Caenorhabditis elegans: one gene and its partner. The protein of the gene in region 1 purifies or fractionates together with the protein of each later gene. This does not show direct contact. Each region holds a gene or a part of one and is shown in the gene's direction. Other genes may lie near its edges.

The links. The genes of interacting proteins can lie anywhere in the genome.
Region 2: the proteins of rpn-6.1 (region 1) and prdx-3 fractionate together in Caenorhabditis elegans (co-fractionation; one large-scale study listed by BioGRID). This does not show direct contact.

The regions. Positions count from the first base shown.
Region 1 is NC_003281.10:6,958,463-6,963,791, reverse strand, and holds rpn-6.1 (putative 26S proteasome regulatory subunit rpn-6.1), read left to right. Parts: upstream 1-1,790; 5' UTR 1,791-1,838; coding exon 1,839-1,884; intron 1,885-2,851; coding exon 2,852-2,944; intron 2,945-2,994; coding exon 2,995-3,218; intron 3,219-3,263; coding exon 3,264-3,393; intron 3,394-3,444; coding exon 3,445-3,773; intron 3,774-3,827; coding exon 3,828-4,133; intron 4,134-4,212; coding exon 4,213-4,401; 3' UTR 4,402-4,682; downstream 4,683-5,329. Other genes in the region: F57B9.1 (Putative pyridoxamine 5'-phosphate oxidase), read right to left, coding at 587-919, 970-1,123, 1,177-1,342, 1,387-1,414. UniProt on the Caenorhabditis elegans protein: Component of the lid subcomplex of the 26S proteasome, a multiprotein complex involved in the ATP-dependent degradation of ubiquitinated proteins. In the complex, rpn-6.1 is required for proteasome assembly.
Region 2 is NC_003281.10:4,405,499-4,409,080, forward strand, and holds prdx-3 (putative peroxiredoxin prdx-3), read left to right. Parts: upstream 1-1,945; coding exon 1,946-2,104; intron 2,105-2,150; coding exon 2,151-2,582; intron 2,583-2,760; coding exon 2,761-2,850; 3' UTR 2,851-2,936; downstream 2,937-3,582. Other genes in the region: snfc-5 (SWI/SNF Subunit INI1 DNA binding domain-containing protein), read left to right, coding at 1-167, 212-394, 443-578; RNA-binding protein rnp-4, read left to right, coding at 820-894, 945-1,190, 1,498-1,605; gpch-1 (G patch domain-containing protein 1 homolog), read left to right, coding at 3,067-3,124, 3,169-3,582. UniProt on the Caenorhabditis elegans protein: Thiol-specific peroxidase that catalyzes the reduction of hydrogen peroxide and organic hydroperoxides to water and alcohols, respectively.

The DNA.
Region 1 (5,329 bases):
CTATCACTTTGTATATCAATTCCCCATTTTGCGAGTCAATTCATGTATTTTAAATACTCGTGTAATCTCAATATTCGTCCCAATATTATTTCTTGAAACATTCCCCTGTTTTTCTCAAAATATCATGTACCATTTATTTTTGTTTCTGTAAATAATACAATTTTGCAATTTATTAGCATTTTTAATTCTATATTCTTCTCTAAAAAATACAACTTCAAAAGCGGTGTTCTTGAAGTTATTCAAACCTCGGAAAATGATAGCCTACCTTTCTATGGGCTATTATTTCAAATTGAAATTTTCAATTGACATTTTGATTTGAAATAACTCGGAAATGAAAATGATCATTAAAGAATCAAATACATATTCTTTAAATTATAATTCGAGAACTAATTCACAAGTGATTAAGAATATAACAGGATACATTGTGATTAATTTGATTCATTTTAACTTGTAATTTTTTGTTGAAGTAATTCCGTTGGTAAGAAAAAATTTTATGGTCTAATTCATAAATAAATACGACGTATTTCTCAAGGAAAATATTTTTAATTTTTATCTACACGAACTTTAACTATAGAAGTGAATGGAATTATGGTGAAAGCCTCTTGAGAAGCCACACATCAACATCTCTTTCGAATACTATTCTATCGTGAAGACGATCCGATTGTCCTTGCCAGAATTCAAAATATCGAGGAATCAAATGATATCCACCCCAGGATTCTGGTTTCGTGATTGCTTGAGCTCCTTCCCGTACAGATAACTCTGTCAGTGCAACTTTTTTGGATTCTAAGAATTCTCTATCGGGAACCACTTTTGATTGATCACTTGATTTTGATCCGATTCGACTTGCTACTGGTCTAGAATTCCAATAAGCGACGGCCATCTCATCTGGAAGCTTCTCAACAACACCTTCAACTCGAATCTGAAATTAAATAATCTCGATTTCAAATTTTCAGCAGTTGAAAATTATACCTGACGATTGACTTTAGGCCAATAAAAGAGCATCGCGGCATTCGGATTCTCTTCCAATTGATTTCCTTTGCGGCTAGTATAATTTGTGTAAAACGAGAAGCCAGTTGGTGTGTACGCTTTCAGAAGAACCATTCTGGATGATGGACGAAGATCTCTGAATTAATACTTTCTAGGTTTTTTTCTCCATTTTGAATGTAATATGCTCACTTTCCGACGGTGGATAAGGATACTGCATTGATTTCTTCGAATGTTAAGTCAGATTGTGAAGCGACGTTACGAAACCAGATATCAAAAAGTTCGAATGGTGACGTGGTTGGTAACTTTGATTCGAGTAGATATGGATCATGAGAGTTTAGATATTTTGCCCGAATGTCTGAAAAATCAAGAATTATTGGTAAAAAATTATTATAAACTCACTTTGAATATCAATAGATGGTGTCTCCATAACGTATGATCTACGTGCCAAGTGACGATATTCGTGAACTGAATATGACCGAATGACCGTAGGAAATAGAAACAGATGATAAGAGAAATACATATATCGTGTGAGATGAAAAGACACCAGACGGTTAGAGTGTGAGATGATACAATCATTTAATTTATCAATTACCTAGTGATAAAAAAGATGACAGACGACGAGGAACGACAAACATTTCGAGGGATCAAGTGAGATTTCTCTGAAACGAATGTATTGGATCTTGGGGATAAGTCGTGGCGAGACCCAGAACATGTGCCAAATAACTAGTTGTTTTTTAGTTGAAAATGAGAGTCAGCTGCTCAGAAATATATGAAAGAAATCTACATTGAAGTTTTGACATCCTCGAAGCTGCTTCAAAAAATTATTTTAATTGACACAACTTTTCGTCCTAATGAGAGAAACGAGTTCACGAGAAGACACTAATAATATTGGAAAAGGTACGTTTTTTATTGAAAAACTGAACTTTACCTCTTGAAAGTGAAAAAGAGTTAATTCAATATTATTTATTTGCACTTGGTGTTTTAAAGTCAATTTTGTATTCCAAAAAAGAATAAGTTTTTGATCAACCTGTTTTTCATGCATGCCTGCATTGATTTTTTTTTGGATCTCCACACAGCATTTTAAAATTCACCACTTTTCCCCCAAGAGGACTCTCAAAAATTCACGTGCTAACCGCTCTTTTACATACGAGCCCGCTATTTGCTCATAGTCAGCTCCCCGATGCTGGTGTTCGAAAACAACTCTTTATTTTCAGGGCTCCCCGTTTTCAGTTAAACTGGCGGCTTGACCTTATTGGTCTTTATCAGTGCAATTTAACCACAACGAAGAACATATTGTTACGAGAAAGTAAATTTTTAATAAACTCGAATTTTTTTAATCAACCCGAAAAAAATAAGCTTTATTTGTATTTTAAACAACATTTTGTTGAATTTTCTGTTCTGTGCATTTTCGCGTCACCTTCAAGTCCGCAAACACCATTTGTGTACCGTACCACACCGGGAAAAATACGCTGGCGGGAATTGTCATCGTCATTGTCTTACTCTCTGTTTCTTACCAGTTTTCTAATGTTTTATCCGTTTATATTTTGATAATTGATCAATTAAATGATAATTATCATATTTTAAAATGATATAATCAGTTGGTGTGTTTTCCGCAAGCACTTATTGATTTCTGAGGCTCCGACAATTTCCATTCCGTTATTTCATTTTTAATGGGGTTATTCAAGTAGTGTCGGAAAATTAAAAAGTGTAGAAAAGTTACGTCACAGCTGTATTCAAGTAAACAAAAACATGTATTTAAATACATTTGTGACGTCACAAATGTATTTTAATACATTTTGCTACATTACTTGAATAACCCCATAAAATTCAATACTTTTTACTGCAATTAAAATCTTAATTTCAGCACCTGAAATGTCTGGAGGAACCATTATGGATACAATGACTTCACTTCCACATCAAAACGACCAAAACGTCATTCGTCACCTCACCAATCTCGGTGAGTCCTTTTCCATATTTCAGAATTTTCCAATTTGTCCCAAATTGAAGTAAAATCACCAGCATCTGGGGACGATGATATCAAGAAGAAAGAAGATTCGATCATGGAATTGGGAAATATTTTGGCTCAAAATAAGCAAACTGAAGAGCTCCGAAATATGATTGAACAAACGAGGCCATTTTTGGTGTCATTGGGAAAGGCAAAGGCTGCAAAACTTGTCAGAGATCTTGTTGATCTATGTCTTAAAATTGATGATCAAGATGGAGATATTAAGGTGAGCAGAATAATAAGCTTCAAATATAAACCCAACTATTTTCAGGTTGGACTCGTTAAAGAATGTATTCAATGGGCCACCGAGCAAAATCGCACTTTCCTCCGTCAAACACTCACTGCTCGTCTTGTTCGCCTCTATAATGATCTTCAAAGATACACTCAGGCTCTTCCACTTGGTAATATATTTCGCTGTAATATTTGAAAATAACTGATAATCTACTTTTCAGCTGCCGATTTGATTCGTGAACTGAAAAAAGTCGACGATAAGGACGTTCTCGTGGAAGTCGAACTTGAGGAAAGCAAAGCGTACTATAATCTTTCCAATATTGGTCGTGCTCGTGCTTCTCTCACTGGTGCTCGTACAACTGCCAACGCAATCTATGTGAATCCTCGCATGCAAGCAGCTCTCGATCTTCAATCGGGAATTCTTCACGCTGCCGACGAGAAGGACTTCAAGACAGCTTTCTCATACTTTTACGAAGCATTTGAGGGATACGATTCGGTTGATGAAAAAGTGTCCGCCCTCACCGCTCTTAAGTATATGCTTCTGTGCAAGGTAATACTCAAAAATAATTACTATTATATTTAAATCCTATATTAAATTTTTCAGGTGATGCTTGACCTTCCAGATGAGGTGAACAGTCTTCTGTCCGCAAAACTTGCTCTTAAATACAATGGTTCTGATTTGGATGCGATGAAGGCGATCGCCGCAGCTGCACAAAAGAGATCTCTTAAGGATTTCCAAGTTGCATTCGGTTCTTTCCCACAGGAACTTCAAATGGATCCAGTTGTCCGAAAACATTTCCATTCTTTGAGTGAACGAATGCTTGAAAAAGATCTGTGCCGTATTATTGAGCCATACTCATTCGTTCAAATTGAACATGTTGCTCAACAGATTGGAATTGATAGATCAAAGGTAAGAACCAAAAATATTGTTTTTTAAATATAAATGCAAAAAAGTTGTTAATTTTTACACAAACTTATAAAACTTTCAGGTCGAAAAGAAGTTGTCCCAAATGATTCTCGATCAAAAACTTTCGGGATCTCTTGATCAAGGCGAGGGAATGCTTATTGTATTTGAAATTGCTGTTCCCGATGAGGCGTACCAAACTGCTCTGGATACAATTCATGCAATGGGAGAGGTTGTCGATGCACTCTATAGTAATGCTTCGAAAATTAACTGATGATTTCTTCGAATCTTCATTTTTTGTTCTGCCTTGTTTTTGTACAATATCTCGACTTTTCCCATTTTCTAAATTTTCTTCGATTTTCCCTCACGGTTCAGTCCTCCGTTCTCCTTTTGAAAATTTATTATGTTTTTTTATAATTGACGACTCCCTCTTTTTTAACCTAGACCTTTCACTTTTCTCCTCCTCTGGAAGCATCAAACTATCCATTCTGCATTATTTTGTAAACGTTTAAATATCCCCCGAACCCGACGTTGTTCAATAAATTTAAGTTGCACAATTGTTTCAGTATATAGAAAGTCTTTGCAAAACCGTTAAAAGAGTTCCTATTTATGTGGCGCGAAATATCTTCTAGCGACTTTCTACCGTACTAATTATTTTTCAGTTCAATTATACGGTAGAAAGTCGCTATGAGATATTACGCGCTACAAATGTAGAAATTATATCTTTCTGATGATTACGTAATATCCAAATCTGTGATGTTAATAAAAATTTGGAAATTCAGTATATCAAATGACGCGTTCTTTATTGCGAATTGGTAAAAGGGGAATGAAAGAGAAACCTCTACAAATCGTAATGATATCAGATAACAAGGACGCAAAATTGAAAAAAGGTTATGGGAACGATAAATAGACAAAGACATCTAGCGCGATTTTAAATGTTTTCACACAATTTAAAAAGATTTCTATACACGGAGGAATACGTCGAAAATGGCGCAATCGATCTATCGGATGTACAAGTCTTTAAAATAACGAAAAAGCGGGCAGAAAACGTCGAATTTACAGAAAAAGACCACCACCCTTTCTGAAAATTCAACCATCATTAACTTCAAGCCGTTTTTTCGTTATTCTAATCTAAAAATTGCATGAAAAGGGTAATTTTGGGGACGAGGAAAAAAGGCAGAGATTCTAGTGTGAACATATGT
Region 2 (3,582 bases), 2.6 Mb from region 1:
CTTGATCTACCATTGGCAGTTTTCCAGCCTGCTATTACTGCAGCAATTAATCAGCAGCTCGAAGCTTCTACAGAAGCGCCACCATTGGATGTGAACATTTGTGATCAGAGAGCCGTTCTCAAGTTGAATATTAATGTTGGAAACCAGAGTTTGGTTGATCAATTCGAGTATGTTGGAAATGCTAAAGACTGACAATTCATTTTAACTTCAGGTGGGATATGTCGGATCCTAATAACAGCCCGGAAGAGTTTTCACGAAACATCTGCAAAGAGCTTGGCCTCGGTGGTGAATTTATGTCAGGAATTGCATATTCAATTCGCGGACAGTTACAATGGAATCAAAGAACATATGCGTTTTCAGAAAGCCCACTGGCCACTGTTGATTGCCCGTTCAGGTAAATTTGATATGAAATAATGAATTTTTGCAAACCAATGCTATTCAGAACATCATCTGAAGTCGAATCTTGGGGTCCATTCCTCGAAACTTTAACCGACGCTGAAATCGAAAAGAAGATGCGTGATCAAGACAGAAACACGAGAAGAATGCGTCGTCTTGTTGGCGGTGGATTCAACTATTGAAGTATCTACTGATCTCTACGAAATCAACCTGTATTTAACGAATTTTAACCATTTTATCTCAATATTTTTAATGTGCACTTTCTTTTAATTTATTCTTTCCTCGATCTTTTCTCTACATTTTCTCGTGTAAACTGCTCTTTCCAATAGGAACTTGTGGCGGTTTTCAAACTGAATGATCTAACTGAAAATATAAATAAATAAAATTTCAGAGCCCGATCGTCTCAATCGCTTGAAGAGAAAAATGAGCGACAACGAAGTAGAGATGGAGGATGTGGTGGCCAACGCCGAGAGATCAAGAGGTCGAGGACTTGCGCAGGTAAATTTTGTCGAATTTTGTAATCAATAATCAATAATATATTTTTCTAGAGTCGCAATCGCGAGAGGATCACCTACGACGTGGTCGATGAAGAGTCGTCTGCCACAAGCGGAGCACCACAAAGATCCGTTGAAGGATGGATTGTCTTCGTGACAAACATTCACGAAGAGGCAACAGAAGATGATGTTCATGACAAGTTTTCCGAGTACGGAAAAATTAAGAACATTCATTTGAATCTCGACAGACGAACCGGTTTTTTGAAGGGATACGCACTGGTGGAGTACGAAACGCAGAAGGTAATATTTTAGCAGTCGTCGTTTCTATCGAAATCATTTACTATATATAAAGCGCTTATTCTGTGTGTCCATAGTTTGTAGTCTATGTAGTCTTTGTAGTCTGTGAAGTTTTGGCTTCTGTGGGGATAGTGAGTTGGGGTTAGTGTAGGGATATAGTCGGGGTACTGTAGTGGTACAATAGTGGTACGGTAGGAATACTGTAGGGTTACGGTAGTTTCAGAAAAATTAGTTTTCAGCCCCAGAAGTGGGGGGCCGCGCCGGAGGTGCGGTCCACGGCTGGTATCAATATAAATTATTTATTTTCCAGGAAGCCAACGAAGCTATTGATCAGAGCAACGATACAGATCTTCTCGGCCAGAATGTCAAAGTCGATTGGTGCTTCGTCAAGGGAAAGAAGACTTCTGGAAAGCGCTGAAAACCACGTACTTAATTGTCCTCTCCAATCCACGTTTTATGTTTTTTTACACGTCACTGTTAAGTTTTTCCTTTTCTATTTATTTTTTGTCCTCTTTCCCAATTTACCATTCGAAATTTTAAATATCTATTTGGTCTCAACTCGCTCGCTCTTCTCAATTTTGCGATTTTTGTTATCTATGTGACACATGCAATAACAGTGAATAAAATGACCATTTTTCAATTATCTGCTGTTGCTATTTTCTTTTTATCGTTAACCAGTTTGGAACGATTTGATATCTTCAATTGTTTCGTAGATCAAATTCTGGAAAAAAAGATTTCTGAATATCTGAGTTTTGCAGATGTTTTCTTCTGCTGTTCGAGCTCTTTGCCGCACGGTTCCTACTGTTGCCACCCGCCAGTTGAGCACATCTCGTGCTCTTTTGTCACTTCGTCCACTTGGACCAAAAAATACTGTCCCAGCTTTCAAAGGAACTGCTGTCGTTGATGGAGACTTCAAGGTTAAAAATAACAAATATATATATTTTTTTCAAAAATTAATTCCAGGTGATTTCTGATCAAGACTACAAAGGAAAATGGCTCGTCATGTTCTTCTATCCACTTGACTTCACCTTTGTATGCCCAACTGAAATCATCGCATACGGAGATCGTGCAAACGAGTTCCGTTCTCTTGGAGCTGAAGTTGTCGCGTGCTCGTGTGATTCTCACTTCTCTCACTTGGCCTGGGTTAACACTCCACGCAAGGACGGAGGACTCGGTGATATGGACATCCCTTTGCTCGCTGATTTCAACAAGAAGATCGCCGACTCGTTCGGTGTGCTCGACAAGGAATCCGGACTCTCATACCGTGGACTTTTCCTCATTGATCCATCTGGAACTGTCCGTCACACTACTTGTAACGATCTTCCAGTTGGAAGATCTGTTGATGAGACTTTGAGAGTGCTCAAGGCATTCCAATTCTCTGATAAGCACGGAGAGGTGAATTTTGAAATTTACAAAAAATTTAATTTCTAGCAAAAAAAATGCAATGTTTTTTTTCCGAAACTTTGGCCCGCCATAAAAATATTTAAATTTTTGTTGAAAAGGAAATCGGTCGTTTCGGGCTAGTTTTAGTCCATTAAAACAAATTTCGACGAATAAAAAATTAATTTTTCAGGTTTGCCCAGCTGATTGGCATGAGGATTCTCCAACCATCAAGCCAGGAGTCGCTACCAGCAAGGAATACTTCAACAAGGTCAACAAGTGATCACACAGAAACAGAACAATTATTTTTATTCTTTGTATTTATCATATTGATGATTTAGTTTGTCGGTTTAAATAAATAGGTGTCATTCAGCTCGAGTTTTTTGAAATTAATTTTGGAAAATATACGGTTTCAGAAAAATCCATTAAAATATTGATTTTTGTTTCCTAAAAAGTTTTGGAAAAAAATGTGAATTTCATTTCAGATTTTTCTAAATAAATGAACAGGAAAAAATTAGCAGCATATGGTCAGGAATTCGAAGATGATGACGAAGAAGGTCTGCAATTTTACAGTTTTCAGGAAAAAAATAAATAATTTCAGGAAGCTCTGTATCAAAAAAGCCAACTCAAATCCACGAAGAGATAGCAACAGATGAAAAAGGAAAACGGAGATTCCATGGAGCCTTCACTGGAGGATTTTCAGCTGGTTATTGGAATACAGTTGGATCAAAGCAAGGATGGGTTCCTCAAGTGTTCTCATCATCTCGGAATGAACGTGGAGAACAAATAAAACAAAGAGCTGAAGATTTTATGGATGCAGAAGATCTTGGAGAATATGGAATAGGGAATCGATCGATAAAACAGACTGCGGCATTTGGTGAAGGAGCTGGACAGAAAAGGAAAATGGCTTGGGAACGGGATACGACAAGTATTTCAACGATAACTCAGATGTTTGAGGATGTTGTGAAGCCTGTTAGTAATTCGATAGGAGTACGGATGCTCCGATCAATGGGAT